Lepisosteus oculatus: one gene and its partner. The protein of the gene in region 2 interacts with the protein of the main gene of each other region in a pairwise test. Links are inferred from orthologs where the notes say so. Each region holds a gene or a part of one and is shown on either strand. Other genes may lie near its edges.

Region 1 (16,390 bases), on a different chromosome or scaffold from region 2:
CTGCAGGGCAAAATGAAACTCTGGCAGCACTCTTTAAAAGGCAGATGTAAAAAGCTTGAACAATTTGGTTACTGAGAAAGTAACGGGAAATCAACTGCAAACCTGCCAGAGACGTGCTTCCTGTTTGCATAATTAGGATTTAAATATTCCATAACATAACAGCCTGATACAGTACTTCTTTTTTTTTAAAGAAAACTAATAATGAAAATACAATGTGTATCCTCTGCAGAGCAACATTTAAAACTGTAATCTAGTCTTAACTTCCTATAATTCCCCAAGTGTTTAAATTAATTGCTAAGAGGCTTTAAAAACATAACAAATGTGTTCTGGAACCAACAGCATTTGTTCCATTTTTAATGCCTCTTGGTATATAAGGAAGTGGAAAGCTTAAAAGGATCACATGGTAAAATAGTCAGCCACAACTCCAAAAATACTCTGTGTACATAGACCAACATCAAAACTGAATTTTAAACATCTCCTGCACGTATGTTACTAATTTTAACACTGAAATTCAAACTGAATGAGTTGAATGAACATTGCACGACACTGAACTCCCCGAGACTACACTGCACTGTGCTCTGAACTCTTTGACAACCAACGCACACTTTCACAAGTGGCTACTACACCCTTTGAAATGACACTGTGAAACACAGTTATAAAAGACCTTTATTCAGCTAAGACACAAGGTAATCATCTCCGTGAAGCATCCCACCCACACAACCCGTAAAAGTGGTACTTTGACAAGGAGAAATCTGGACAGCCCAGGGATATCAAAAGAGTTGCTGCACGTCCACACACAATCCCATAAAAATGAAGGTTCTCCGATTAACAATATTAACTTTACACAAAACATTTGCAAAAGCACAAGCGTTTTACATCTGGCCGGGCCCAGCATGTACAGTGTCCTTTAGAGGCTCAATCTCATCTGCCTCGGCTATCTTCACAACTGGGATAAGAACTGTTCTTCTCCACATAACGCAAACCCATTCAGGCTTTTAAATGTTTGGTCATATATTTGCATTTGTTTCTTAGTAGGCTCCCTCCCCCCGCCACTACGAATCACACAAAGCCTTCTTACTTGACACCATCAATACAGTTTTGACGTCCTGCAAGTGATATGCTAGACACAGGGCAGTTAACTCAAGATGTTATGCGCGGTGACAATACCACACAAATCAGATGAGTAAAATAAAAAAAGAGCACAAAGTCCAGAATCTGTTCAGAACTCTCTAATTAAGGTTTAAACACGCATCAAGAAGCACAAAATGTGGCCACAATATCTCAGACTAAATTTGCTGATGGAGTTGCAGAAAGCCTTTCGTTGGAGCTAAACTTGTCCTAATTCTTTAACCTGTTAGTGGGACACATTCAGATTATGTCAGTGTTCAGCCACCGAGACAGAGGCAAAGATCAGCAGCTACACGATAGCTTATCATTGTTCAGGAGAAGCATCCTACACCAGCTTCCATGTCTAATTCCATCCCAGCACCTTGCTTTGAAAATGCAACCTTGATAAAGTGCTTACAAAGTCTGGAACAGCAATACTATACTTGAGGCAAATATGAATGTTTGGTTATAACGCGTACGTGAGCCAAGAATATCCTTGAGAGTCAACCACACAAATCGTGCAAATATTTTCTCACAGGATCTCCGTGTCTCAAGGTTATTTCTGTTCTTTATTATTACTGAGGCCCTCTGTGGCAGCTGCCCAGAACGATGTCAACATACACTAAGGAAAGGAGAAGACATCATCTTTTGGCAAAGCTGGTGAGGACATTTGGAGACTTTGCCTAAATTTAGACTTTTCTGGCTGATCAGTCTTGAGGGGTATACCAATCTGGGGGCGATGCCAAATTCAGATGCCTCTTTTGTTTTCTCTGTGCTGAAAATGTCCTGGCTTTTCTTTTTTCATTGCCGGGTCAAGCTGGAAACGGGTTTTTCAATCTGCATTTTTAAAATCAACGTGACACACTCTGAAAAGCTAAATGACAGCAGTCTTAAGTCTCAGAATATAAGATTTAACCAAATGTCTCAATTGTGTTGAAGTTGAAGTTTTTGTAGAAACGTATATACATATATAAAAACCTCTTTCTTGCTAATCATAGTAATTCCCCATATTTAAAATTAAGCCCAATACCCATCACAGAAAAGCACATTTTCACCTAAAAAAACCCTTTAAGGTTAGCTTTAGATTTAGGGCATGTCATGACTTGTTAGACAACCTGACAGAGTGGAGGAGGTGCTCATGAAACTGTATCTCGATGATGTGATTATCACATGACTCTGCCCCAGGCACCAGCCATCTTAAAAGTCTGCCTTATATTTCCTGTCATTCAGGATCTGCCATCAGAAGGGCTGAAAAGCAGTGCATTCCTTCCTGTTCACCCCAGAACTGTACCCAGAGCCGTTTCCCTCACCCCCCACTCTAGACAACTGCCTTTACAGCTGTGCAAATGACTACAGTTTGAAACTGAAAACTGGGGAGGGGAAAGGGGTATTATTACACAGCTTAATACTTCTTTTCTTACTTAAATGCATTGCTTGGAGTTAAGGAAATTATTTCAATAATGCTGCTTCAAGGATAAATGACAGAGGCATTCAAACATAAACATTCAGATTAGATCATACAAACGTATTCATGGCTTAGGTCAGTAAGGGACTGGCCAAATAATTTATTATCAGAATTTAGATTTAGAACTTTAGAAAAATAACACCCACCTGCTTGCACATAAAATGAAATTCCTGGCCAAACCGTCAAGTGTGGTGAAATGTAAACAGGGAAAATACTCTGATTTTAAACTGGATGTACAGTAGTATGTATGTTTGTGTGTAAGTCTGCTCCACAAAGAAGCTATGTAACAGTCCCCACTACCGACACAAACTATAGGCAGGAAGTTCTGTTACCTTGCGCTACTGAAATGAACACTAACAGGGTTGTTAAAAACATGTATACAGTATATGCAAACACAGCCTTTTCCTTAAGAGTAGCAAAGCCCATGTTTTTAACTGAAGATCACTGGAACATAAAGTAAATCAAACTTTACTGAAACTACCATCTTAAATTTCAAAAGAAAGTATACTAATCATCTACGGGCAGCAGAACAAATTGAAATGAAGATATACTGAAGTATACCTTATCACAACATAAAGCACTCACAACATGGAACCATGCAATTAAACCAAAAAGAGAGTAAAACAACTTTAGCTTTGTGGGAAATGATGACCTGATATTTCAAACGGGTTTCGTGCACATCACTCTAGTTGCAGTAAATTGCTATGCAGTTCTGAGTCCTCTGCTCAGACAAGTTATTTTTATTAAAGTGCGTCTAGCAATCTGAAGGTTATGCCTGAAACATGTCAGGACAATCGGGTGATAAGTATTACAAAAATCCACAAGAATTTCAGGGTATTCTGCACACTCATTAATTGAAGGCTGTGCTCAAAGCAATAGATGATGCTGCCAGACCTACGAGCCTCCTAAATTTGAAATTCAGATTATTTTTAACCATACATAACAGACAGCTCATACTTCTTTTGGGAAAAATAAAGAAAGGGTTTGCACGCAATGTGACACCCCTGCAGGTCTAATTAACATTTATCAGTGCATCTCCTCAGTGGTTCTCTTGTTGATGGATGAAGATCGAAATTCACTGTGTTGTACTTGAAAACCCACGAAAGACAGCACTGATATCTGCATGAATGGTCCATCTGTGCAGTGCTTCCTTGTTATAACGCGGGAGAAGAAGAGTGTAATAAAAACCACTGTGGCCTTCAGGAGAACCACAGTGAAAGAAGACGCGACCCTTGTCACCCTCGGATATGAGATGAGCACCGCAGGGAACCACAGAGGCCATCTTCAGTACAGGAGGACAGCACCACTCAGAGGAACCAAGACCTTCGCTCATGACAACACCCAGAGGAACTGCGCTACATAAGAAAAACACAGCCACGGACGGCTGAGCCACTTCAAGGATATTTTCCGGCCCTGATCTCGTCAAGATACTAACAAACACACAGCTCCGGTTCTGTTTGACGCATCACAGAACGTTTCAATGAAAAGAGTTACATTTTCCTGTTGCTTAATGCTTAGTTCATATGACAGCGTCTACTGGCAAAACAGCCCTTTTTCATCCAATCTCTCAGACATATCACGTCCAAACCAATTTTTTGTCTTTTTTTCCCCGCTTTGGCTGGAACTATCTCCTCAACAAGGCATGTCAATCAAACAACAGGGTCAAGTCCTAAAAAAAAGCTCCAGAATTTCACACTCAATTACAATGATTGAGGCAGAAAGGAAGAAGTTGGGAGACCAAGCTTACTTCAATTAAAGTTTCATGACTGTTCGCCTTAAGAAATGAATAAGGGAAGTGAAATAAGCCCAGAAGAGAAATTGGGAACTTAGTTCTGAAACACTTATGATTGAGGCCTGGTGTCATCTGTGCCTTAATACAGCAGGCCCAGTAATGTTTCATTCATACACTGGAAAGTGGCAGGGAGGGTTTTAGGGTAAGAACTTAAAGGACAAACTATCCAAACAAGAAGACAGCTGCCAGCGCAGTATATGAAAAGTCTAAAACACAGTTTGTGAACTACTGGTTCAGTTTTAGTGTGCACACCTCAATCGAGTATTGTATGATATGCAATGATCAACCAACCTGAAAAGAACAGCTCTCGGCACTCATTACTTATCCATCTCAGTTATTTTAAAAATCATCCATAAATGAACTGAACTTACAATTCTGAGTCATAATAAGCACTGAAGGTGTTTTACAAAGACCAGATGCTTTTTAGTGAGACAAGGGAATGCTTAGGAATCCTTGAAGTGAACTTCCTTGTCACTTCAGCTTGACATTTAAATCTGAAGCAGACAATTTTAAATCTGACATTCTGATTCACAGCCTATATGCCGCAGAGATGCATATAACCTTGCTGAGGAAACATTCAGATGATATGATTAGCTCATTCTTAACGCCAACAAGAACAAAAAAAACATGATAAACAACTAAACACATACTTCTTAAATAGGAGGGTTTAGATTCATTCAATGCTCTGGAAACAAACTCAAATGATTCTTACAGTTTTTTAGACAGTAACCATCAAGATTGCAACAGCTGCACCTTGAAGAAGAAAAAAACATTCCACATTCCCTGTCATCTTCTCTCAAACGCACACACTTCAGGTATCGCAGTTGGAGTCCCTCCAGCGCCAAAAAAAGAAAACCGTTGCAAAGCACTCTCTAACAAGTACATTTGAAATTAAGAAAGGACGGTTACAAATGGCAGGAGGTTTTGCGTCCCATCTAGCTGATTTTGTAGCTAGGAACGCATGTCACCCAGCTGTTTCGTGAAAGACACTGGGGCATCTGCTTCAAGAACAGGACTGGGCAGCCAGTTCCAGACTCTCACAACACTTTGGATAAAAAAGTGCCTCCTGATCACAGCTTAATAAGCAGCTCCACACAGTTCTAGATTGCAATAAAGTAAACATCTTTCAAACACATATCGACAGAGAAACAAATCATCACAACCTCTGAAAGATCAAATCCTTTATCTTGCTAATCACTTTCCTGTAAAACAAAAGCATGAGGTGACTGAAGACACACTACAACGTGGTACACCCACAGAACCACATTAAACACCATCACCATTTTCCAGCCCTGTCCCTGGAATACCCCTACGTCTTTTGAGTTTTTGTTCAAACTAAACCATTCATCTATTACGTTTACCGAGCTATTTGCTTACAGTTTCATGGCTTGCATAGTAAAAGAAGGTATAAAATTTGCATTTAGTCTGGACCAGAAGCGGGGTTTCAGTATTTCACCTTCAAACGAGAAACCTAAGTGACAGGAACTTAAGCAACAAGTCCATAGGTTCCCAAGAATGCTTATCATGTGAGTGTTCGATATATTGACCTTCTCTCTTGTGTATACTCTTCACTAATTGATAACTAGGGACAACCAATAAAGGTACAGGGAAAGCAACAATTTAAACCAAGTGGAAAGAGATCTATCCACTATGTTTCCTGGTAACAATAAACAAACAGGAGATTTTTTTTCTCAAACTAAGACCCTGCGTGCAGAAAACGGCCAGAAATCAAACAGCCGAAACACACAGACACAGACGATACCACTGACACGGGGCTGGGAAACACAGACTATCAACAACACACCGCCACTATCAACAAATTAAAACAAACGCACTGCTTTACTGGGAATCGTTGTCGATCCACAGTATGGTCTACTACACTTCAGTGTGTGATGGTTTCTGCAGTTTCTCCTTCATCTGTCAAGAGTGATTCAACTAGAATGTGGTGAATCACATTTTTCCATTTCCGGCTATGAGAATGACAAAGGCAGGTACTAAATACTTTTAACGCTGCTTTTTATACTACAGAGAAATTGAGTGTAACAGGTTATCTGCTACACACCCTTCCTAACTTATTTTCACCCTGGATGACTCAATCTCTACGTTGCTGCTGAAATCCCTGTGTGGTGCAAACACAGCATTTCACAAGACTGCAGACAACAGGAAAACCCAAAGGACTACTAGCACTAAAAATGACAGTGACAGCTAAGGGAGACATTAAACACATTTGAGATTTCTTTATAATCTGCAAAGCATACTTTGTAGTGCAGAAACTGCAGTTAAACTACAAAAGCAGTACAGTGTGTGTTTTTAAAAGCGGAGGTCTGTATCAAATGCACATTTGTACCTACAATACTTGACAGAGTGTGAACAAAACAGAGAGCACAAATCCATTTTTTTTTACAAATGCAATTTGTATTAAAAGTCTTTTGAAAACAGACAGCTGTTAAAAGGCTGGTCTGAAAATAAAATTACAATCGGGTTAGAATTCCAATGGTACATCACATTTTGTTAAAACAAAAACACAAAAATTCCTTTGCATCTGCTGGTCTGGGAAGAAAAGCAGGGAAGAACAGCAAAACTGATGTGATGATATCCAGTACCTGTGGACTTCAATTAAAATCAGGCCGAACCTCAACAGGCGTAGAAATTACATTTAAAAGGCCAAGATGCTTTTTTAAAAAACGCATTCAATCAACAATAGGTTCTTCTGTCTCTTTTTTCTCCTGTCTGATTACCTAAGGGAAACAGTTAAGTACTTTGTGGATTGCAAGATAATGGGATTGGGTGGAGACTTTCGTAGGTTGGCACTAAGTTAAACAGCTGATTTTGGAAGGCACTAGTAGACACGGGGCTCTTGGCGTCCCCAAATCACTAATTAAGGTCTTCGTTGACGGTGTTACGGTGGCACTGCTCAGATGATGCAGGTTTTTCTGATCAAGCAAAAAAAAAGTTATTTTTCTTCTTTTAAAATGTGTGTTTCCCAAATTGAAAATACCACTGATTTCCTTAACTCCCAACTCTATGTAGCAGGTACAAAATATGTTTTTCCCCCCCAGAAACGAACTTGCCCGTTCCTGCTCCCGACAGCAGAGTCTGATTAGTTCCAGTTAAGGGTGCAACAGATGACACCGCGTTTTCTGCTTCCGTGCAGAGCTCTTACAATCTCGGTGACCCTTTACGGGGTGCTCCTTTTTCCCGGTTCGTGAACATGTTCTCCTCGCATTTAGCCACACAGAAAAAGTCTTATTCCGTCCCAAGAGATATCTTCAGGAACCCCCGCATCAAGGATGAAACCCTACAACAGATTTCCAGGACAGAAAGAAACAGACGTGTTGGTCTTTTTCTTTGCATTTTAAGTAAATAAATATCACCACCTAGGCACTCGACAACGATATTTCCAAAAATGCAAATGTCTTTTTTCTTCTTTGTTTTTATTCCCAGAACACTAGGCGTATTCTGCCATGTAAACACTGGGTTTGGATCACGTTTTGTAAGAAGAGTGTGCAAGACAGCAGGACACTTTTTTAAAAAAAAATACTGATCATGATACAGTCGACGTATTACACCATAACGTTATCAACCAAACTGGTTAGTCTTCGGATCTTTAGTTGTGTATTAGAGTCACTCACCATCGCAAACTTTTTTTTGTTGTTGTTGTTGTTGAGAAAATATGTTTTAAAGGATAACACACGAGGAACAGCACTGGTCGTCCCCGTTTGGCTGCGAGGCATAGTTCATCTGCCTGACAATCTCTGCAAAGAGTTCGTCTACGGAGCCTTTATTTTTGGCCGAAGTTTCCATGAAGGGGCAATTCCATTCATCTGCCAGCGCCTTCCCTTCCCCCGAGGACACTTCTCGCTCGCCTTCCAAATCCACCTTGTTCCCCACTAAGATCATGGGCACTCGCTCGTATCGCTTCACCCGGATGATCTGATCCCTCATCGGCTTGATGTCTTGGAAACTCTGCTGGTTTACCAGGCTGTAGACCAGAATAAAGCCCTGCCCGTTTTTGATGTACAGGTCTCGCATGGAGGCGAACTGCTCCGTCCCCGCGGTGTCCAAAATCTCAAGCACCGAAGGCGAAGAGTCCACCTCGATCTCTTTCCTGTAAAAGTCCTCTATGGTCGGGTCGTATTTCTCTATGAAGGATCCCGTTACAAACTGCACAGTCAAAGCCGATTTGCCCACTCCGCCCGATCCAAGCACGACTACTTTGTATTCTCTCATGGCTTCTGAAATAGTCCTCTCCGCCTCGCTTTCTCTGGGCTGCGCTTTGCGCCGCTGGCCGCCCCGGTGCGCTTTCAGACCTTCAGGAGCCCCGAGCCTCGGGACGCCCCTTTCCACCCGGCTCTTCGGATTTCCGCGGCGATCGTGCAGGATCTGCGTGTCGGGCGAGAAGCGAGGCGATTTAAACCGTGCCCCAGCATCAGAAATGTAACATGTTGCGCCCTGCTGTTTCCTTGTGCACTGCTACTGTAGAAGGAGTGATCAACGCACTCTGACCACGCTCTTCCTGCCCACAGACACAGCGCGCAGCGTCTGCGCGTCACGGCCCAGAGGCTGGGCTGAGCTTCTTAAAGGGGTAACGACGAGCTCGCCGTCTGACTCTTGCGCCCGGTTTTCCCCTACTCACCTTTTGTGTACAGGCGTGTGATACCGGGGGGGACAAATCACGCCCAGTCTTTGCTAACGGCGTGCTTTCATGACTCATCAACCCCCGACACCCCTCTTCACCGAGACGCATTCACAGTGGAGGAAATGCCCCATTCAGCCGGCGCTGCTGTAAAAAGATTGATTCACAAAAGGAGGGGAATCTAGGTGTGTGTAAAGGCGATTAATGCATATCCAGAGCCATCCGGTCTAAGAAAATAGAGGTTGGGTTTAAAGCGATTTCTTGGCCTCTAGTTTTTATCATAAAGTGTGGATTTTTAGATAGCCATTGGCACTTGGGTTAGAACGCCTCACTGCTAGGTTTGACAATAAAACGTGGATATATATATATTGGCACTTGGGTTTGAACGCTTCACTCATGTTTTTTTTTATAATACAGTGTGGATTGTTATATATACATTGACTCTTGGGTTTGAACGCTTCACTGCTGTTTTTTATAAGACAGTGTGAATTATATATATATTGGCATATGGGTTTCAGCGTTCACTGCTGTTTTTTTTTTTGGTACACAACAAGCGACGGGGAAGACAATAACCATACTAAATCTGTTTCCTGATTCCAGTCAATGAACATACTTTACATAATCTTAACCTTCTTTTGCAGACAAGCCAGTATTCTCTAGCTGAACGCCATTTGTTTTACAACAATGACCCTATAAAAGCATCCTCACATGTCGTTTAGCTTCTTTTGATCACAGTGTACTTAAAGACTTATAGGAATATGTAGATTTATGTGTCGTACCACTATCCGCTGTCAATTGAGAGACACACGGTGTCTCTCAAGATCTGTACTGCTTCTGAACAAAAAATACCATCAGCTAATGCGCTTGTTTGCTTTAAATAATACGCCACTCATTGAGGAAAAAGGGAATGGATTTAAATTAAGCGCATAGAAAACTACGGCAATAAAATTCCACTTTAAGTGACTCACAACGAAACATTTCCAGACAAATTTACTTATCATGTGCAAACTAACACTAAGGCATCACGAGATGGTAAAGGATTACAAATAATTCGTGCATATGCACATAAACAGCGTCACCTGTAATTGCTTAAAGGTCTGTTTTTTATAGGAACGAAACACGATGAACTGCTATTATTTAAGTATCTCTGATCCAAGGTTACTTACAAAATATACAATATTACAAAAATACAAAATATTATCGTAATACAATATATACTTCTTTCAATATTGCGCTTTTTTTGTGAGAAACACACTATAGAAAACACTCAACTGGAAACGCTCATTAATCCTTATCCTACATAAAAGTATGTCTTCTTTAATGTTCATTACCCCCCAAAGAAACTGCAATGGCCCTGGCAATAGTTTCGAACCGAAATGTATTTAGTTGATTTAAACGAATACGTTCTCGGAAAAACAAACTCTCCATTTATTTAAAACCATTTCATACGTTTCTCTAGCTACTGGTTGTCATTGCCTAGACACAGCCGATACTTGGCGAAGAATGTAACTGCAAGTAACTGCGCTGTAGTTGAGCACCTTTGATAAGCAGAGCAGTGTACCGAAGTGAGTGAGTCATGCAGCCTCGCTAGCGCAGGTGGGGGTTATCTGTTTCTGTCTGACACATTCCTCTGCCTTTGTGGCTTGTGATGTGAGAAGGGTTCATAACTCACTGCCTTTTTCCTGCTCGGGACTTAGGCGGGGCTGTTTCAATAAAACAGCGAAGTGGCACCAATCATTTTCTGCACGGGTTTTGTGTAAACCTCAGGGCGTCTCGGCGTTGAGAACACACTGATGTATTCGGCAGAATCGGTACATTAAGATTTTGAGAGGTGCAAGTATAACGTTTCAGTTTAATACTTTCTTATGTTTTAAAGAAAATAAAAAAACGCAGTCTTAAAGCTAGCAACTAAATTAGTCCTATCCTTGCTGTGAATCGTGGGATATGTCTGAAATACATCAGACATGATAGGTTTGTCTGTACAAGACTAAAAAGGTTCAGTTCCTTCAGCCTGTCAGTGTAGGAGCCTAGCTTCTCAGCTCCTGTAATGTCTGCTCTTCTCTGCACTGATTCCAGTAGCAGAAATATCTGTCCTATACCACAGCGACAAAAACTGTTCTAAATGAAGCCTTACTAGTGTGTTATGCAATTGTAACATAGCTTTCCTTGATTTGAATTCTCGATTTGAATTTGAGTTGTATTTCCACACAGTTTCTGCTTTTTCGAGATACCTAAGGAAATGAAATACCCGTTTTTGACATGACATGTGCAAATAAAGGTAAAGTCTTTTTCCCACCCACACAAATATTCCTGCACGGTGGAAGATGAATGCAGGTTACTCCTAGTACCTAGAAACAACAGAATGTTAGTATGATTTCTTTGTGATTGCTTTCTTCTGTTTTTTCTGACATTTTTTCAACTATACAAGGGGCTTTTGTATTCTTCATATCAGTTCATTCAATGAACTGTAAACACTGAAACTATGAGGAAGGACGCAGAATAGCCCCTGCAACAGACTTCTGTCTGCTAACGAGATATACCGTTGACATATCTCGAACTTTATTCCTGCCAAATGAAAAGGTAGCACAGAGACCTGTGACACAGGAAGTCATGGGTTTCCTCCATTAGACAGAGAGAAGTGTCTGGTGGCTTCGCCTTATAGCCTTCCTGTCTTCCTGTGCACAGACGTCATTCATAGAATCGCACGAAGCGTTTGTACTCGCGGAATGGAGATAAACTGGTTCAGTAAGCCTTGCAAAACAACAATTGCATCTTTAATATGTGATGGTTTCATCTTTGTAGCTGGATGTAAAGAAAAGATGCTCAAGCTCACTTTCTAAGAGGAGAATATTAATGACATCTTGCAGTTTTGGCAGGGCTTCGTGACTTCATGTGCATCACCTGCAGGGTATGTAATTAACACAGTGCTAATCTCTACAATGCAATTGTAAACCTGCTCATCTGAAAATGATTTTAAAGGCAAATGAATTTATTACATTTTTACCTCTATATATCATGTATGTGTCATGCAGACATTTAAAGGTCAAATATTTTCTTTACCCCCAGAGTAGGGGCAAGTTTATACATATATTCATATTTTATTTAATATAGTTGTTTCTAAACATTTTTTTTTCAATGAAACAATACAAGCAAAAGTAGGACTGAAAAAAACTGCTGTCTTTTTTAGATAAATACAAACCATGTGACAACTGTGTTTCAGTGAATAATCCTCTGGAAAACAGCAAGCAGTCATTCCACTGGTGGAAATGAAAATGGTCCCAGCCACCATCCTCCCTCATAAACAGTTCCTGAGTTTAATAAACAAACAGGGCCAGAGAAGACTAACCATTTAAAAGTAAGAAAAGGTGAGGGAGTAGTAAACAGCCCCCATTTCATTACCTTTTCATACCAATGGAAGATGATTTGTTTTTCTCCTCAGCCTGTGGTTAAAAGAAGCCTTTGGCACCCAGTTCTTCCTCAGTGTGGGAAATCAATACTTTCTGTTTCACGGACTGCTGTTCTTCAGAGAGCAGCAGTTTTAAGTCATGATAAAATTAGCATTTTTTTCTTTCTAAACTTATTGACTGCTTGTGTGCAGTACATTCCCCTGACATGAACTGTAACTTGCACTTCATATCCACTGCGTATATCCCCAGGGGGAAAATTGTGAAGTGAAATATTCTAATCAATAGCTCTTTAATCGGTGTGTGTGTCAAATATCGACTTGCAGTTCAGTGGCACATACATTATAAATACGATTTGATATGTTCTACTGAGCTTTTTCTCCAAAACAGACCTTTTAAAAAACAGGGAAGTCCCGCATACGATGATATCTAAACCACCTGGATTTGAACCAGCAAACCATTTTCTACAATAAGCACTAACCACACACAGAAGACAGAATACGGCAAAACCATTAATTACGAGTAAGATCATTTAACATGTACAGAAAGTAATCAAAGGAACAAGTAATAGGTTTATTCCATGCTGAAAAGAGAAGAGAGAAAACACAACGTTTCAGCTGTGAAGCCTTCTTCAGGTGTGAGGGGAGCAATCAGCTCCATTTGTCTTTTCACAATAGGGCAGGCAGAGAGGCAGAGTGCCGTTACAGTTCTCTAACTGAGGTTAAACAGGGCAGCCGAGACGCTCATTCTCTTTTTTCTCTTTTGTTTTTGCTGATTAAAGGCAATCCACCAGAAGACTACTGCATGTGAAAATTAAATCAAAGGTGCTATTGTGTTTCCTTCTGATGAGGTTTTACAGCAAATTTAGCGGAGATACGGGATCTATATCCCTTTAAGAAAGGAATCTCACACCTTTTATGGCCACATGTCCAGACTAGCTTTGCTGCAAAGTTGAGTACAAGAGAAACACAAGGCCGTTTGTCAGAAAGCTGAGCTGTAATCTGTTGATTTGTTACTGGTGAGGGCATTTTCCCTTTGTATCACAATGCAGAAAAGCAAGAGTAAAACTGAATACATTATTTGATTTATTCCTACATTATGTACTATGAATTCTTCTAAAAGTAGTATTATTTAACCAGGTCCAAAATAATAACAATAATAACAACAACAACGGTCATTATTATTATTATTATTATTATTATTATTATTATTATTATTATTATTATTAGACATGTCACTTGGAATGTCCATGCCATTGGACTATGGGAGGATATCAGGGCACTAGCTATGTAGACATGGGAATGTCAAGCGAACTCCACAGAGAAGGTAAGGTTCCCAAGTCTGGACTTTCACTGAAGTATTGCAGCCTGACACATTCAAAATGGAATAAAATGGAATAAAAACTGTACTGTATGTCAAACCCTAGGCAAGTTATGAGAACTTCCTTTCTTTTGTTTTTTTCAACCCATGAAACCTGCACGTGACCTGCAAGAGGAAAGGGGGTTTTCTCATTACTGCAGTGTAATGAAAAAACCACAGAGGCTTGGTGTCACTGCTGAGAGCCTCATTGAAAAACTCAAGAATAACCTCACCTCCGCTCTGCTGCTTTGCAATGCAACAGGACACAGACATAGCATCTAATGACTTTTGTGCAAGTCCTGTTTCCAGCCCTGATCTGCAGAACCGGATCAGGGCAACATTAGCACAGACTTCTCAGAATTCTTGAAACACACTATATCAACATGCTATGAAGCAGCAGCCTCACTCAGTTTATTGACTTGATTCAGTTTCTCATATCTCTTTATATACCTCTGAGAGCAGTTGAGTGAGGGAGGTGCTGCTTACCAGCATGAAAAATACATCTTGACATGAGAATCCTTTTGCTGTTTACGTGCATTGTAAGGCAAACTCAGCAAATGTTGTAGCTGTATACAGCATGCGGATTAAACATTATTTCAAGAAGATATGCATCTGTGAATGCATGTTAGTTTTTGGTATTCATGAGATTCTACTTTGTAGAATATTACACTGTAAAAATCTTTCTTGGTAAAAGAACCGCCTGACATGGTAATTTGATTATTCAGATGTTTTTTTCTTGATTTAATACTCAATGGAGTTCCAAACCAGTTGCAAGGCTTGAAAATGATTAATTAGTGCTCTGATGGAGAAGAGAAAATAAAAGAAACTGGTTCATCTGGCAAGGGGTAAGGATTTTGTCACACAAATATCTCTGGCTTTTATTTGTTGGTCTTAACTAAGAAGGCTGATTTACAATACTGATTACAATACTAGTTTTCACTTGGATAATTGTAATAGCCTGACAACAAAAGCATTGCTCTAAGGCTTCCAAACTAAATGTTTTAAAATCTTTAGTCATCATTTCACAGAGATCTTCTTCATACAGGGTAGTATTAACTTCATATAATAATTGGTGCTACTAACAGTCTAAACCTGTATTAGAATTTCCATTTGTTTTTGGGGTTTTCAATGCTTCAATTTAAAATGCTCAGTATGGTTAGATTGGCATATACTGTAGCAGAAGCATTCATATTGAAGTAAAAAGCTGTACACAACACACATTTATGAAGGTACAGTATGTAAGTACGTATGTGGTACATGTGAGAGTAGTAACTGTGTGCTTTATAATACCAATAAACTGTTTGGCACTCTAAACAATATATCATTTATAAGGAAGATTACAACATGAATTTTCACTTATTGCATCATTTATCACCAAGTTTCCACATCAGATACTAAAATGAGTCAATCATCTCATGTAATTTCAAGTAACACAACGACTGATTAAGTGCTACCTCATAATTAAAATGTATCTAGTCAACATTCATAATGAGACAGTTTCTCCGAGCTTAAAAGAAATACAGCCACTTGACAAGGTTGTATTAGTTCCCCCCAATAGAATTTAAAACGTTTCAGTCACTGTGGGCTCATTCACAATTCACTGTGCGCTAACTTATCTCCATAAGACTGTAGTTTGGTAGATGATAACTAAATTCTCTTCATAGCTGCAATGTTATCTTTGATGTGGGGAGACCAATATCCTTCGAAGGTTCACCCTGCTAGACATTAAACAGCAATGCTCTCTTCTCTTTCTCTTATCCACAGTTTCACTTTAACGTGCCGCTAAAATGTAGTTCAGTGGCTCTTGCAATGTAAAACAAATTCATTTCTGAATTCTTAAAACTGCCTTCTTCCAGTATTTATGACATTTATTAAGATTTTCTGGGCCGCCTTCATTCTCTGTCACCTGCCTTTGAGAAGACATTCAAGGACTTTTTCTGCGAACACACAGATCAATACTATCAGTAGAGCGCCTATGCTGTTTAGAATGTGTGGGCTGTAATTCAACATGGAATTAAAAAAAAAACTAAATGTGTAGCACCACAACTCACCCTGATATGTACTGTATATAGGCACATTTTATTGGTGACTGGTCTGACAGTTGATTGACATTTTCTAAAGGCCAGAGTCACTGAGCATTTACAATTGGGCCTGGACTTTTCACCCCATAAGACTTCACTCAGATCACATTTGCCTTTTGCTGATTTCTTGTAGTCAGCATGCTGTGCTAAACACTTTGAGAATATTACCTTCAGTCCCACATGCGGAAAATGTGACACTTAATTGCACTGGATTAATTAATAGCTTTATGTTTAACAGCAGAGAATATATAGATTTCCTGCCTTAATGCAAATGAATTGCTGGAGCCAATTAATAGATTAATGTGAAAAACACTGGAGATAACCCAACAGAACCTAAGTTTCTTGAGTTACTTAAGTTAAATTAAATTCAAATGTGCTGCATCAGATGATCAGTATTCTGAAACCCAAAGTGGTTCCTCTTTAAAAAGTGCTGCCTACATTTATATGAAATGTTACAAAATACTTCTGCTGCAAAATCTTTCCTGAGCTGCGCTGAAATCGAAAAAGGCAGGGTTGAGTAATGTGAAATCGTAGATGATGATTTCT
Region 2 (17,110 bases):
ATAGAATCCTGACAAAAGGAGCAAAAACTATTTCCAGCATCAGTGGAAAGTGATATGGGTGGCACAGTGATTATGCTACCTCACAGCTCCTTGGTCCTGGGTCACTTAGGACCTGGAGTATCTGTGAGGAGTCTGTATGGTTTCCTCTTTGTGCTCCGGTCTCCCCCAATAGACCAAAAGGTAAGTGCATTGGCTTCTGGGAAAACTGTCCGTGGTGTGAGGGTGTGTGTCAGTGCCTGTGTGTGCCCTACAGTATGATGGGCTGGGGTCCCATCCAGGCTGTACCCAGCCTTGTGTCTGTTGCTTGCTGGGATAGGCTCTGGCTCCCCCATGACCCTGAACTGGAAGAAGTGGTTAGAAAATGGATGGATTAAAAAACAATACTCTTGTAAAACTTCTGTAATGCTTTCTCTGCCACTCTTAGATTGTCATTACACGAGCAAACAGTCAAAAGTGAAGTAAATACTGCCAAAAGATCCTGCAAGATTTTCCTCAAATAAAATGATTGCATTTTTTTTTTAGTTAAGAATGCCTTGGTCAGCTGATGCTTTTTCAGATTCACTCTGTGCACCTGGTGAAAAGATTTTTGGATCATCAAGAGGAATCAGTTTTCCCCTTACAGCCTTTACCACAGACTCTTCTCGTTTGAGAAGTTGTCAGGTTTGACTTTCTTATGTGTCTACTTGTATAGAAACAGGAGCTGGAATGTGCCTGAATAGTCAGAGTCAATTCCTGCCCTCCCAGTGAAAGATTTTTTAGGGTTTTGTATCTTTGACCAAGTAAAGGATTCAAATATATATTTATGATCAAAATGAGCAATACGTACTGCCCAAACCCTGAGCATCAGCTGCAATAAACAGTGGACACAACTGATGTGGAACATAAGATCAGGGTTACAGTGCAGGAGCTTCCTGCAGCCTTCGTTGTACTTTCAGTGTTTATTTTTCCACTTGCTAATCACAGCCTTTTAAACCTTAGAGGCTGTCTGAACTGATAAATTAGCCAGATCTGCTTTTGCCTTCAGCAATGCACCAGTAATTTTGTTTCCCATGAGGCTGCTTGCATCAGCCTTTTTTCCATATCTCTGCACACTGGGCTAAAGGCCTAGTCTGCTGCTACTTCATTTTGCAGAGGGTGGGTCGCTCCTATGGAATATGCCATTTTTCTGCGCTATAAATAACGTAACACATTCTCAAGCTGGAGCAATATTCAGCAGCCCGGCAGTGCTTCTGTGGAGGGTGAAAGCTGGCGATACCTGGTTGTCCGCGTGTCCCTCAGGGCTGTGGCGATGTACTCTGAAAGACGCTTCTCCATCAGTGCCACTCTCACCCAGGCACGGCCCTGCAGACAGCAAGAACAAAGAGCCCATTATTCACCTCGTCTGACAGCCTCAGCAGCACAGCAGCAGCTACTGGGCTTCTCAGATATTCTTCCTCTCAGACTGCCAGATATCACCTAAAACAGAAGGAACTGCACTAATTACAAGATGCGATTCCCTGCCTTCCCATCTTTCAGTCCAGTTTTGGGCATGTCCTCTGTTTTTCACACAACAGATCGATAAGGGGTGAAACATCATATGATGCATTTTAAGCACGCTGATTGCAAATCAGATCAGGGCTGCGGTTAAATTGTTTTGTAGGCTGATGTGGATCAAGCTATGTTCTTGTAGAGGAGATTTAAATTCTTCTGAGCATATGAAATATACTGTATGTACTTGGTTATGGGAAACTCAACTCAATTATCAAGCAAGAGAAAAGCTGGTGACTTCACATCAGTGTGTACACAGTGTATGCAGCACACAGTCTATAAAAGGCACTGACCCACAGTAGGAATCTTTCCCTTTTCACTGAAAGGACCAGCACACAAAATAACACTGTACATTGACTATGAAGCAAAAGGACCTATATTACAATTTCCACATGTGTGATATCTGATGGCTTAAAACACATTTAAAGGGAAGAATATTGGGGAATCCTTTCAGAATCGCTCCTCCTGTAAACAAGTCAGCAAGGTATCTGTAAAATCTCTTGGAAGTTCAACCTAGCAAATACTATCATTCAGTAACTTATAGAGCTTGTGTCTTCACTGAAAACCTGCAGAACACAACCCACAGACCATTGCAAAAATACATTAAATAAAATCTCCCTTTGTTCAAAATTCATACTTTTATAATTCATACAAATTATAAAGCAAAATATACAAGATAAACAAAGGATCCTTTGACAGACCTGTCAATAATTTGAAAAAAGGAATGCTGTTTAATTGAAAGGAACATATACACCAAGGCAGGCATAATGACTGCAACTATCAATAGAAAAGAGTGTAAAGTTCTCACAGAAATGATGGAAACATGATTGTTAAAATAATCACATGGCTATTTAAGAAGGAAATGGTCTCTCATCACTGGCATGGTGTAAATTCATACTGTCCCAAAGTGTGGTCTTCCCTATAAGTAGAATCACAAATATTCCCGGTGACAAGTCATGTCATTTGTCATGTAATAATGATAAAAATGCAGAAAATTTAAAATCTGTATCTGCAGTGGTTTGAAAAGTGAGGAAAGGGCTTCTGCACACTGTAGCCTTAATTTCAGAACAGAAGTATATTATGATCTAGAGCCACAAAGCATATCAGTATCATCAGCAGACATAGTACAAAATATAGTATATTATAGTAGAAGACAAGACATTTCTTTCAGAAATGGCTAGGTGAATACAACCAGCTAGGAGAGAATATTTGGTACTGATGTCACATTATGACTTTCCCCATCTGCTTCAGTAACTCTCAGCACAGCTTTCAAGGGCAGATGCATAAGCCTATTAATGTCTCTGGGCGTGCAGCAAAAACACAAAGCACAAAACCCAGCTGACACAAACAGACAATTTGATAGTCTGGCCTGTAGTGTCTTGGCAGTGGCATAGGCTGCTATTGACACTGGGGTGTGGACAATCCCACTGCACGTAAACAGACTCTGTACGTGTGCCGGATTGCGGTCGGCAAGTTCCAGAACTTCCAGAACTTCCCGAAGTGGCCTCTTGCCTTTGCTCGGGATGAGTTGATGTTCTCCATGTTCTCGATGCTCGAGACGCAGTTGTTCTGGACTTTGCTGCAGGCAACGCGAATGTAGTCCCAGAAGCTTCTCTGTCCATCATAGCTGAACCAGCTGGCAGGGCCTGAGAAGGCATTTTTGAAAAGTCAGAAAGCTTTCTTCGGCTTTGAAAAATGAGTTTCATCATTATGACCGATGGTTAATGAATGTAATTTGATTCTCTGTTAACTTAATTAGATTTAATTCGGGCTTCACACTTTCCACCAGCAATCAGATCAGTCTGAGGCAGGGGTCCTGGTCATTCATTCATTCAGCACTCCAGTTCACTGGACTCCGGTTCAATTACCTTTGAAACGATGGCTAAGGATCTGCTCTAGAATCGCAGCAAAGTTGATGAATTCCTCTGATGAGTCATCAATAGGCTCTGCTGTGTACTTCTCTAACAGCGTCTTCACTGAAAACCTGCAGAACACAACCCACAGACCATAAAACTATATATAGTTTCTGGATCTAAGAATTTACTCAAGACAAAATAACTGAAGGATATTAATCTGTTGACTCTGGAAGAACAGGGATGTTTAGACAAGCATTCAAAGATTTGCAAAAAAACAACGCTTTTACTACTTTAGAATTAAGAATAAAGCAAATTGATTTGAAAGCAATTTGTCACAATTGTTTTTCTAGTTCGTGAAATGCAGCTAATACAGTTAAAAGCTTTGCCAGCACTGCTAAGAAAATTCTTTTTGCAGTCCTTTAACTGTATTCGCCTCCTCAGCATGTTGGAGGTGGACTTTTAACAATTGCAACTTTTGATCTGTAATTTAAGATCCCCACATCTGGAGATAAAAAACACATGCAAAGGTTCCAGTTGAGCTAACTTGTTAGGTAAAGAGCTCAGCTGGAATGAGAACAGTGGGTGTACAGGCCCAGGACCGGGACTGGAGAAGAGCTTTGTGCTCGTAATGCCCCCACATATACTGTAGTATACTAATGTAAGATGCCCCTCTGGACCACTAGCTTGTTTGGAAGCTGGAAATGTACTGAATTTCAAGGATTTCATCCTGACATTTCTCGAGGGACTCCAGGGAAACCACTGCCTATTTATTCTTTGTCAATCTTATGACTTAGACCACTATCCACTGACCTCCTCAGGTCATCTAACATCGAACATTTCTTGATCATCTAACATTTCTTCTCAAAGCTGATTAGCAGAACACATACAAGGGTAGAAAATGCCAACTGAATTGAAAATCCAACCAGAATGCCAACATCAACACACTTTATAGAAGAGACCATAGAAGGTTGAACTTTTTTCACAACACTTGTAAAATAGAACTGTTGTCATTGTTTTATAGATGTATTGAATCCATTTGTTTATCTCCAATGTTGATACAGAGCTCTATCTAAATCAGTAAGAATTAAAACAAGAGGTAAAAACAAAACCAAAGGATGTTACATGGCAGAAAAACGGCAGTGCCAGTCACTCAATCCGAGCACAAGAACAAAGACATTCACAAAGGCAGCAATAACTTCTTGAGCAGTTTTTGGAGCTGTGTGAATTCGTGAAAATAGAGCATTTTTCTCTTTGCACAAGGGACAAGAGTAACATAAAATTAAGAAGATAAATGACATGTAGCATGAGAGAATTTTACATCATAAAAATCTATCAAATGTAAAAAAACATGCAGAAGCCTATAACACATCCTTATAATGCTCTGTCAAAACAGCAGTACTTTGTTCTCAGTTGTTATGATGGCATTCAACTCGCAGGCTCTGTTTAAGGGCTGATACTGGGATGTGTAATCTCCTGTGCAGAAAGAGAAAAGTGCATGCCGTACGATGAGGGCATTCCAAAGTAGTTCTTGAAACGTTCAGTGGCTCTTTTTAAATATGATTTAACTCTCTTTTTTTTTTTACTGGACTTTCTAAAGCCAAGGACAACTGACAAAAACAAAAATACAGAAATTGGATGTCTCCCCTCTTGGATGCTGGGTGTAAAGCTGCAAAAGCATTTTCTGTCCCTGCAGATCCTAGGAGCAGTCTCTATACCTACTGGCCAAAATATTAGGTACCCCAGTACCACCCCATTTTCCTGAAAGGATGGCCTGGAGCTGAAATAAACCATTTTCTGTGGGATTGAAGTTCACATTCCACCACATTGAGGCTGGGGGATCTTCCTGATCAAGGAAGATGACAGAGGTCTGTCTCATGTGTGTGAAACCAGACATACATTGCTTGTGTCATTATCTACAACATTGTGTTAGTTTTTGTTGTTACATTGTGTTATGCTGTGGTGCAAGTAATTTTATACACCAGCTAAACTAAACAGAATGGTTTTGCACATTAACATGTCGTGGGAATGTGAACTTCATATGTTGCAAGAGAAGAATAGTAACCCCAGACTCCTGACAAGTCGGACAACAAAGATCAGGGAGGCACAAAAAGGCCTCAGGTCTTCAGCCTGTCTTTCTTCATCCACTGCCTTTGTCTTGGGATTTCAGAATCAGGGGTACCAGTGCCACCTACTGGTGTGCCAACCCCATTACAAGCAGGAACTTGTTTCACTTGATTTCTCCTAGATACAGTACCATCTCCTTCTCAGAACTTTGCAGGCCCCAGTCTTGCTGAACTCCTGAAGATCAAGCTTCAAGGTAAAGCCAACAAGAGACTTCTGCGAATACCTCAGATATTCTAGGAGGACCATGCTGGACCACAGCTTGGGAACCCTATACAATGCAAGTCCAGCACTGAAATGCCACATGAACATATTGTTTTTTTCACATCTCTAATTTTAGTTACTTGAGTTAACTTGAGCTAAATATTTGGAAAATGTCAAACGACCTGTTGTTTTTTTAGGTATTGAAAAGGGTCCGTGAAAAGCACTTGAATCTGGAGTTTGCACTTCTAGGGTTTCAGTCGCCGTCAAGTGTGGTATTTTGAGATCTAGCCAGTGAATGAGTAGTCTGCCTTATGGAAGTGGCCAAACAACGCGCCACTCCTACCCAACTCCATTTCCAGTCTGTGTCAGATCTCCGGCTCTGACAACGCGCTCAGAACAATGCTGGCTAATTCAGTGATGTCAGGGGTGCTGCCCTTGTACCACAAGGCCTCCTTCGGCCATTCCGATGCGTCCCCATGACGACGGGACAATGGCCTTATTGTCACCTCCTGTCCTGAGATGCTTTCAGTTTGACCCCGATTTTAAGACGGTACCTGGTATCAGCTCCTTTGTTGACTGTCAGTCAGAAGCATTCGTTTTGCCAGAGTCTACATCCTAAGCCAAAGATATTCCTACTATAGTGAGTGCAAAAAATTCACAATCTATCGCCCAGACCGTGAATCTTCATGGTAAAGACTGCTGTCATGGCTCCTGTACTGCGCCTGTGCTCCACAGGAAAGCTACAATGCCATTACCTCCCGGACCCTGACCTCCGGTTATTTCAGCAGTACAAGTATAAGCACATTTCTTGAAATTTATTTGAACCAGCAGCTATGCCTACTTTGAAAAAAACTTTATCTTCCACCTTCTTCCTTCTAATACAGACATGCTAAAAAGGAGCTAGCAGTTTTTACACAACATACCTCAGATTTACTTCCTTTCTCACAAACTGGATTATGTTTCACAAGCTCTAGCACCAACTTGTGAAAGAAAAAATATTTTTGTTTTCCATTTAGCCTCCTCTGAAGGAATACTGTACGATGGTGTGGACAACATAACGGTTTCCAATTTATTTTTCTGAAATGACCAGCAATATTTTGGAAGCAGTTGTATTGGATTTTCATTGAGCACATCAGATATAAAGTTACCATTGGGAAAACAAGGTTGTACTACTATAAATATTAAAACAACTTGTGTGAAAATGAATCGTACTGTAGTTGTTCACTCCAGCTATGCGCAGTACAATCCCACTGTCCTCACAATGTTAAACAACAGCATTAAAAATACACACCAGGGAATATGCACATTATACAATACTGGTGATTCTACACTTGTTTCATATCCGGTAACAATGTCACCAGCTATTTTGTTGAAAACATTTAATGATAGTGCAGAAGTATTGCTGTCAGTCAGAAGCACTGCTGTAGGGGTTAATTGCTATTCCCTAGTGGCCTTTATTCGTCTCAACGAGAAAAGGTCATTGGGCACTGCAGCCTATACCACGACAGGACACTACAATTGTTAAGCAATTGAATCCATTTTTAAAGCTTTAATATTTGATCAAAACAAATGACAGCGGATGCTTTCTCGCTCAGTTATTGATTGAGGTTTCCTTCAGCACAGCGACACAGCCGAGGCGACGGCAGCTACAGTGTCCTCTTCCACGGGAAGGTTGTCGCCTTGGCAACGACACCATCCGTGACATTCCTGCTCCGGCGACGGATTACCTCACATCCACAACAACCTCCCGGATACCGGGGGTACCACACACCACACAGGCACCCCCGGCCCGGTCTTCAGGTCCCAGCCCTCAAGGACTACAGTAGCGGAAGACAAGCGCTCCAGCAGTCCATTATTTCACTTAATGACCCCACACGCCTGCCAGCCGGTTATTTGATCTTTTCTTCGCTTGTACCCACTACGGGCGACCCAAAACACATCACCCGTCAAGACAACGAATATGTTATGTTTGAATTTCCTAGGATGATCACTCGTATCTCATTATTTTTGATTGAGCTGCTATAGTGAAACGTTACGAATCATAAAGCCATCGCGACAATGACCCCGGCCTGCCTCATCCTCGCATCAGCGCTCAACACCGGTCTCGTCGTTGAGCCGGGCCGCTTCTGCGTTACAGACTGCGACCAGGCGAAGGGTTTGTCACGCTGGAAATCGAGGACTGCTTAAAGCGGTGGTCACTATATAGAAAAATAATGTAACGTGACCCCCCAACAAAAAGAAATCCCAGCACCCACAGTCGACAGTGCATCAGTAAAACGGCCATTCACATTCCTCTCCAGCTCTTACCGGCAAACCGTAATCAAGTTCTTCCTTTCCACCGCGACGCTCCGACAAGATGCTTTTTTCGACGACAGCCCCATCGCCATTGCAGACTGGAGGCAGCTCGATTCCATCCAGGACGGCGCAGATCCACACCGCTCGGTACCGACCGACAAGACCCCTCCCTTGTTACGCCGTGTACATCTCCCCGGGTCCTCGGGCTGTCGGAAGGAGATCGCCAGCGATGAGGGATTCGTACCCAACCGACGAAAGGAGCCGTCAAACGTCAAAATGCACCGATATCTCCCCCACCCCCCTTTTTTAAAAAACAAATGTAATTCTAGCTCCGGTGCATACCGGCCCTCCGACGCAGCTCGCTGAAGCGGTACTGTCCGAGGTGCTACAACATCCCTCGTCTCTCCTCCCTCTGTCTCCTGTACCAGTGATCTCAGAAGATGCCCCCCAGCCCGGCTTTCGATGACGTGTCGAACAGCACAGCCCATCGAAATACAGCTAGAACTACCCACTGTCGAGCACAGCAATGAACTATAAATAAACCTTGCGAAACTGCATCCCTGCATCTTTAATGCACGGAAAGCAGCACGATCTTTCATTTATACTATCAGGTAGCAAGCCGTAACCTCCAGCATGATCCACTATATCAGAAATAATACGAGTATTTCAATATAAGGTGGAAATTCAAACTGTAGCCTGTGATAGTTTGCCTTGGAAAAAAAAAACCGTTATATTTACGAGGACAGCGTAATGCGCTATCTTGGTAATTACCGGGCCTTAAAATAACAGGCAGCGATGTTCTTACACGATGTACATGTACACCTGAAAATAAAATACTAAGACAAAGAATTATAGCCCGCTCCCTGAATGTCAGCATAACATGTTGGGGAAAGTCTTAACATTTCTGTTCATGTAAAATGAGGTTTAAAATTCATCTTAAGTCATTAAAGGGCGCACTGTACCTCATCTAATCCTGGACCTTTCATCAGGTTTGATTTTAGACACGTACTGTATGTGGTGTAAAAGGTTGGAAAAACCGCTCAGGCTTTGATAAATTTTACGGCTATTTTCTCAATGCAGGGTAAGAGCCAAGATCTTACAGAAGAGCCCACTGGGGGGAGTTTTAATTTCTGTACCTACCGAGCAGTGTTTGACGGCTGCAATCCGGTCTCGGTTGTGCGGTTACCTTGAGCGCGTACTGTGTCCAATTTGAACTATACCGTTCGCATGTTTTTAACGGTATTCAAATGCAAAAACAAAATCATTTAACACATGAAGAAATCGCTGTCTAGACGATCCACCCATCGACATTTTTTATTCGACCTGGCTGAACCGTGCAGATTTGAAAGGTGCCATGCTGCTCAGGAATCATATCAACGGGCGGATCATTTTGGTTATCAAACGGGAAAGGAAGCTTGTCGGACGCAGCTGTGAAAGACAGACATCGACGCTTCAGAGCAGAGAGCTCAGGGCTGGGCGAGTGCTTTAATGGTTTAACCCGAGATCATCGGCGAGTTTAAAGTGGCACCTGAAGAGCAGCCCCCCCTGCAGCTTCCTCATCACGTGTCTGAAATGCTCCTTACCAGGATCCTGCTCTATCTCCGGTGCAAGAACACTTACTGCGGTCACCGAGAAGGGAGCAATGGGGGAAGGGAGTACTGGAAATCGTTCATCCATCATCGGGAAACTGCTCATTCCCAGTAAGGTACAGCAAACCAGAGCCCATCCCAGAAAGCGCAGGGTGCTGGGCAGGACTACAGTCTGTCCCGGGCCACATGCAATTTAGCGACAGTGTTAAAAAAAGCCCACGTGTTCTGGACACCAAGAGCAAAGTGCAGCACTCCAACAGCCAAAAGAACACAAGGGTGACATGCAAATTCCACACAGAAGATCCAGCAGGTAATGCAGAAGCCAAGAGGTGTGAGGCAGCAGAGTTAATTAAAGGTTAATTGAAAATGCACCATGTGAAAGGTACAAGCACAAGAAAGAGTGTCAGTAATTCTGCCATTCTAATTTGTATATACAGCAGCAGATGCGGGATAAAAAAAAACACGTCAGTAACTGCGAAAGATACAAAGCTGCAAAACTATTCTGCCAAGCAATGTGACTCAGACTGTCAGGAAACACTTTTCAATCACCTGTGAAAAACCTGTAGAAAATGAAGGAACAGGCTGTGATGTGGACGCAGTCTTATAATTGACATATTTTTAACTGGCATCTGCCACGTTAAAGCATGCTTGAAGGGCAGAATTAATAAGAAACCCCCTTCAGAACTCACCTTGCAAGCTGGGACAGCTATAAAAATACTAAATGGATGTAACCACGAGGTGGCTAAATTAAGACCAGTGTACAGAATTCAGCCTCAGTACAAATTCTTTACCAGCTGAGAATTACTTAAAAAAACCTCTTAGACAAACTCAAATTTTCCACAATGTAAGAAACAATTCCCAGACACCTCAGTAGGCATATTGAACCATTTTATTGTAAATAAATTTTGATACACTGGGCTGGCTTTGCACTGCAAGCCCCCTGTCGATATATATATCCTTATATATTCATATACATATTTAAACTACTGGTCCATATTCTTCTGAGTAATCCAGGGTCTCAAACAACACTGACATTCCTTGGAAGATATCGAGCACTTCAAAAGAAAAGATTCCTTTGATGGCAAGGAATTTTAAACTTAACCATCACCATGTTGAGCAGCGGAAATAATAGAAAAAAACTGATACGAGTGGATGTTCACTCGAGGTGAAAGACTTCTGACTGCAAGGTTATAGTCAGCACAAAACAGGCACTCAGGAGGTCCCCCAACCCTGGGCTAAACAGAATCGTCACGCTGGGTGAAATGTTGCTCTGGTATCCCCTGTAATTGCCTCCTAAAACTCAAAGATACTTCAGCAGCCTCAAGCCCAATTTCAAAGTGCTGTGGAGCCTACTGACGGAAAGTTTCACTACAATGGTGGTGCTCCATTCATAAGCACTTGTTTTAAAACAATTCCCCCTATTGAAGAAGAAGTCGGCTTCTTTTTTTAAATAACACTGCAACTGTGATGAACGAAAACACGCCGTTTGAAACTTGTTTTGAAGAAAACATTTGGAGAAGCTTCACTGTAGCACAACAGTGTCCAAAGCATTCATTGAAAGGGTGGTTTGGCTGTCAAGAGATCTCTCCCTCGTCTGTTTGAGAACTTTAAAAGTGCTCAGAGATTATTGGGCAGATGTGTTCGGCACCGTGCTCACTGATTGAGCCACAAGACATTCAGTCAACTGTCCCAAATGATTTTTAACAGAAAGAAAACAGTAGAACCTTACAAAGGTGCTAATAAAAGAAAAAAAGCACAGAACTCCTGCAGACTGTGGCATGGATACAGCATGCTGCCCCAGACCACTTGAAGTTTGAGGCTATGTGTCCCTGTGGTGTTTGTTCCAATGTCCTCATTCAATAAATGGCTCGAATCCATCCCTCCATTTTCTCACTGCTTTATCCAATACAGGGTCGAAAGGCAGTAGAAGCCCATCTCAGCCTCCCCGTCACAAATGAAACCCCAGAAACCCTCTTTTAGCACACTGTCATCGCCTTTCCAAGTGACCCAATGGGGAAATGGCTCTGTGGGCAGAGCTTTGTATCCTGGAGATTGCCTCTTCAGGTCTGAGCTATGTCATTAGTGCAGTGTACCCACAATTCCCCAAGCCGCAGAGCATTGTTTGGTCCGTGCCACTGCGGTTATGGGACTGCACGGTCCCTTGGTGTGCCTCTCTACGGTGACTCCCATGGGTGCCCGCAAGCTCGCAGTGTCCCTAGAGCCTGCTGTTCCAAGTCCTTCACCTGAAGCTGGTGGTGCGTGTTTTGGTTGCTGTGTGTGTGTGCGCACTTTTTTTCACTGCTGCTGAAGATGTTTTAACAGCAAGGCAAGGTGCTGAAACAATTGGCAATTCCACACATGAGGAGCGCGAGGAGGAAAAGTCTCCCAGGACTGAGCAGTGGAATTTGTGACTGTTGGGTTGGTTAAAGTCTGACTTGATCCAGTTATTTTGACAGGTACAGTCCAGTTAACAGGACTGGACCTCACAGGACTCCCATCTTTTAGTTGCTGTCTAGTGAAGGGTTGATCTTCAGTGGGACTGTTGGTTCGGCTGCTACATAAATTGGACACCCCTCACAGACCTGTACAGCACTCACAGGGAATACAGAGCTCGTTTGACCCAGTGTTTTTTTAACACTACAAATAATCCCTCAGCATAATCTCTGCAAAACCAGCTGCTTCTGTTTTTCTTATATCATATTTCTTAAGGCATCATTAGAAACTGTCATTAGAAACATCATCCAACTGTCTAGAGTCGATATAACAAAAATATATTTATATATAAAAAACACATCATCCTATTAATGAACTCTAGGGTATAAATAAAGAGAAAAAGAGGCTTCACATTAATGATTCTTTTTGTGAAAAAAAAAAGCCAAAAGCTAACAAAGGCACAAAAAATACCTACATTCATAAAAAAGTGCATTTCTGACAAAATAAATGCTAGATTTGACAGGCAGGAGAGAAATTAATCCTCTTATCCTTAGCCCCCCCATTCTCTAACTCAGCGAACATTTTACTTAATGTACAAAATACTGGAAGCAACTGGAATAACACCGTCTCAGGAAGAAAATCGTGTTTTTTTTCGGGGGGAGGAAGCGAGGAGGAGGCAAGCCAAGCAAACCGTCTCCAACACAGAACGCCTTTCCGCATTCTCACTTCAGCTCATCGGCGAAGTCAAAATGAAGGCTTTGCCCCCTCGAACCCCAACACTCGTTCTTTGGGAAAATGGAGAAGAACACTCTTTGGTACAAGTACGGATGTGGTGCGGAGAACCCCCTCACGAGACACGAGAAAGAAATGGCTGGCACAAACAGTCCCAGAGAGGCAGCCGCACGGCCAGACCGCCGCGCGATCACTGCAGATCGGATCGCGTTTCGGCCGGGGGGCGCGCGGGGAGTGGACTGGTGCTGGACAAAAAAAAATCTGAGCGTCCAAAAATGGCTTTTCTTTGTGACATCCGTTCAGTGCAAATACTCTCAGAACTGTCAAACCGGTGAAGACTCTCACTGGAATAATGCTGATTCAGGTCAGTCTGTGCTCACTAGAAAAAGAACAAACACTGCATTCTCCTACTGTATATTCAGAAAGGCATTAACGCTGTCCATATCCCTTGTTCCAGATCCAAAACAAACAGGACAAATGGAAAAAGATACCTATAAGCAGGGGCTAGGTTTCTTCATGCTGAAATAGGCACATGTTTCTATCTTGACAAATATGTTGCTGATAATATGCATCAGAAGAACATCTGGTGTCACCTCTGTTCTGGCCTGCTTTGACTGAGTGGCTTGGATTATGATACAGGGTGTGCTACAGCCGTAATAACACTGAATATTCCAATTATGTCTCTTAAATAGTAAAGTGCTTGACTGTAGTTCTTGAGAATTCATCTATGTAACGTTTTTAAAATACTGAACAAATTGAGATCATGTAGAATTAGGAGGCCATGTTTTACTGTCCCTCTAGATGCTACTGCCACTAGAGAACTGAGCAGGCAGAGGGCTTCATGAGCTCCGAGTTATTTTTTGATCATGAAGATGCTGCTTCTTGGATTTGTCATCCTCTCCATCCTGGTGGCCACAGCAATCTTCTGAAAACTCTTTTTTTTCTAACTTCACTCTCAAGGGGACCGCTGTCAGTGCCCTGCAATGCGTTACACCAAGGCGAATCGCTGACCTGATTCCCCTCAAGTCCGTCGTATGGGATTTTGGTTTCAAACCTTATCAGAAACATTACAGAACTGTCACCTGCAGGTAGACCTGGTACAAACTACAATGCCCAGTAAGGGGCAATTACTGCAGGCAATAAGCACTAGGACACTTACTGTGTTTTTTTGACAGAAGTAAAGAGAACTTTGGATCTAACCTACAAGGTCAGATTTCAACCTGGCTGGAAATCTGGAGGAGCACGTGCTCGCCTCCTAGGGTGCTCTCTCTCCATGTAGCCCTGATTCAGGGCAAACCTCCAAGGCACTTTATGCCAGCTCCTGGTTTTGGAACTCATTATCTATCAGCTAGGTTGTCGGAATTGAGATTTAACCAGTCTCTTAGTAGAAGCGGAAAGTACCCAGTTCGGGGTTCTTCATTTGTGCCATTCAGCAGTTCATCACAATTTCACAAGGAAATGTGGAATCATCTGTAGTATTACAATAGCATGCTAAGTCAGAAGTTGCTCCTGCAAGACACTTCTCTGACTTGCCTCCTGATCCAAACCATTCCCCCCTGCAGTGCCGGACAGGGGCATCAGCGCCACCTGGAGGAGATGGAGTGTCTTTCACTCTCGCCAGAGGCACACAGGATGTCCCAAGACCGACGGGCACACAAGCACACTTTGTGAAATAATAAACACGATCGCTCGCCTCGCCTTGAGTACAGGGACCAGCGCCAGAATAACCCCCAGCTCTACAGGACAGTCGAAAGTGTGCTGAGAAAGAACCGACCTGAAATTTAAGATCTGGCCGGTTTTTTGAAGGCAAGACAATAACTGCGGGAAAATTTCAGTCACAAATAAAAATGACGGACGTCTCATCTTACACACAGCATTGCAAAATACTAATAAGTTATAGAAGTTGTCTTTTTCACGATTTAAGACAATAGCCACAGTTGGGTCAACTGTGAGCCAAACATGAACAGCAGCTCCGGGCACTGCTATCAAGACTTACTCAAAACCAGGGGCAGTGCCTTAACGATGCATCTGGTCAGCACTAACTGATTCTAAACAGAACTGTTCAGTCCTGGATCCTGGCCTCTTGAAGAAAAAAAAAATCTATATACAATTGTTTGCACTTAAAGACGTTTGCTCAAAGTGGGGATCCAATATTTCTGAGCACCACTGAATTCCATTTTGTAGGAAAAAAAAAGGATCTGTTGGATCCCAGTGTACTAATGGCAGTTATCCCATTAAAGGTGAACCCAAACACTGTACAGAAGCAGCCATTAACTCAGCTATTCCACTGCATATTAAAATAACAGGAAAGAAAGTACTGGATCCTGACCATTTTTACAAAGGATCTTGCACCTCAGTAAACCTGACATCCTCACTGCAGCTTGGTGCCCCCTTGTGGTGACCGCAGGGAATGCACATTCATCCAGGAGGTGCCCCTGTGAAGGCGGGACTGCCACGGCCCCGGGGGTCTGCTCAGCACAGGATCTGGGAGAAGGGGTGTCTCAGCAGCTCCTCCGCGGAGGGCCGGTGCTTGGCCTCCACGAAGATGCGCTTGAGGAAGTCGCGCGTGTGGTCGGAGATGTGGGAAGGCAGCGCGGGGTTGGTGGGCTGGGTGGCGATCTTGAAGATGGCGGCCATGGCCTCGTACTCCGCCCAGGGGGGCTTCTCCGTCAGCATCTCCACCACCGTACAGCCGAGGCTCCTGTCCGCAACAAAAGGAAAAAATCAAACCATTTTATTTAGGTTGCAATTTTTAAGGCTTTATATATACATACACACATAAATGTCTTTCCTAAGAATTACAAAGGTACTGCTGCTCAGAGCTGTCTCAAACTTTTGGTTTGACAGCTGCCACTAAGGGGCAGCAAGAAATACAATTCAGGAAAGTTGGAAATCGAAGCTGATCTCCAATACCATCTCAACCTCAAATCATGTCACAGTATGCAACATGGCACCACCTACAGGCTGAAGGGCTGAGTTTCAAGAACTGAGCAGAAAAGGAAAAAAAAAATCACACTTGCTAAATTAAAAACATTTAATAAAAAAGCTTTTGTTAATTACAAAGGCCCAACTCTTGTCAAGTCAGTGAAACCCCTGGGAATTTCAGTCTTTCTTAATAATGATCCCTTTTATGGCTAAGGGTAAAAGAAGTTTTTACTTTTTTCATCCAGTAAAAAAACGTTTAATTAGGCAGATTCGTCAGCAATTAGATGATGATATTGCAGTACAGTGACTTGGACAGAACCCTACCTGAAAACTCTTCACAGTCGGGCTTTAACGAAAAGTAACAACATGCTAAAGTGTTGCCATCACACATGACATGCAAGTTTCCCCCTCACACATTTTTCTAAATGGTGACACCACGTTCAAGCTGTTCTAATAAAGCAGTCTCACGGGTTCTTGAAGATTTTCACATGAACTTGGACTAGGAATCTACAAACACCGGGATATAGATTTACAAAAAACATCAGAATTTGTCAAGAATGTTGCTCTGGGGTTTCACTGGACAGAAGAACACAAACTGTGAGAGTTTATTTTAAGACAGCTGGAATGTTTTCATGGAAACTTTTTATGTACAGCATTAAAAAGAATACAGGCAGTGTCCTGACATGAAGAGTGTCTGGATGGAGAAAAACACCCTTCGATTTCGGTCCCTTTTCCAGGCGACAGCCTTCTCGGGTTTCAGCGTGTTCCCAGTCCCTGGGGGAGTGGGGAACACGGGCGGGGAACATTCCGACCCCAGATCGAGCTGCTCACTGGAAGGGCTGGCTCTCGGCCAATCCCAGCTCCCTGACGCAGACTGCCCAACCAGACTGCAGGGGGAACCCCACTGTGAACCAGGAGCAGGTGAACCCCCCCACTTTACGCAGCTTATTCAGTTTAGGGGCCTAATTTTTTTATTATTCCACTGCTTTTTTAGCAAGTCCACATAAATAAGAACTTCTCAATAAACCACATGGGGGCTGTTATATAGTGGAGAAGCTAAGGAAATAGTCATTCAGCCTTCAAAACAGGCCTCAGAGACGCTTAATGCATTTTAACCCTTTGTTTCTATTGTCTATGATGTTAAACTTCACTTCCATGTCTTCTGTTTTCAAATCCAGTCTCAGCAGCCCATAATCCTTCAAGATCAGGGGTGTGGTGTGCTCCAGTGCTCTCTTTTCACTCTCAAACTCTCAGCAGGAGAATTCAAGATCAGTCACACCTTCCTATTGATCTGCCTGGATGCTCTACTGCCTGAACTCTCTTCATCTCTGCTTTAGCTATTTTATGGACTTTAAAGTGTTTCAGAACCTGGACCCTGAATAAAGAGCCAGCAGGAGGAAGCGCCGAGGAAGTGAAAGTGGACGAACT

What was found.
Region 1: the proteins of rundc3aa (region 2) and ras-related protein Rap-2b interact in binary tests that used the Homo sapiens proteins (3 or more experiments, as listed by UniProt). The two-hybrid records come from large-scale screens. The link is inferred for Lepisosteus oculatus from reciprocal best matches to the Homo sapiens genes RUNDC3A and RAP2B.

The regions. Positions count from the first base shown.
Region 1 is NC_090708.1:3,001,806-3,018,195, reverse strand, and holds ras-related protein Rap-2b, read right to left. Parts: upstream 8,696-16,390; 5' UTR 8,595-8,695; coding exon 8,043-8,594; 3' UTR 7,997-8,042; intron 7,663-7,996; 3' UTR 654-7,662; downstream 1-653. UniProt on the Homo sapiens protein: Small GTP-binding protein which cycles between a GDP-bound inactive and a GTP-bound active form. Involved in EGFR and CHRM3 signaling pathways through stimulation of PLCE1.
Region 2 is NC_090723.1:1,753,584-1,770,693, forward strand, and holds the start of rundc3aa (RUN domain-containing protein 3A), read right to left. Parts: upstream 8,670-17,110; 5' UTR 8,603-8,669; coding exon 8,016-8,602; intron 3,512-8,015; coding exon 3,396-3,511; intron 3,174-3,395; coding exon 3,040-3,173; intron 1,342-3,039; coding exon 1,256-1,341; intron 1-1,255. Other genes in the region: map3k3 (mitogen-activated protein kinase kinase kinase 3), read right to left, coding at 15,230-15,458. UniProt on the Homo sapiens protein: May act as an effector of RAP2A in neuronal cells.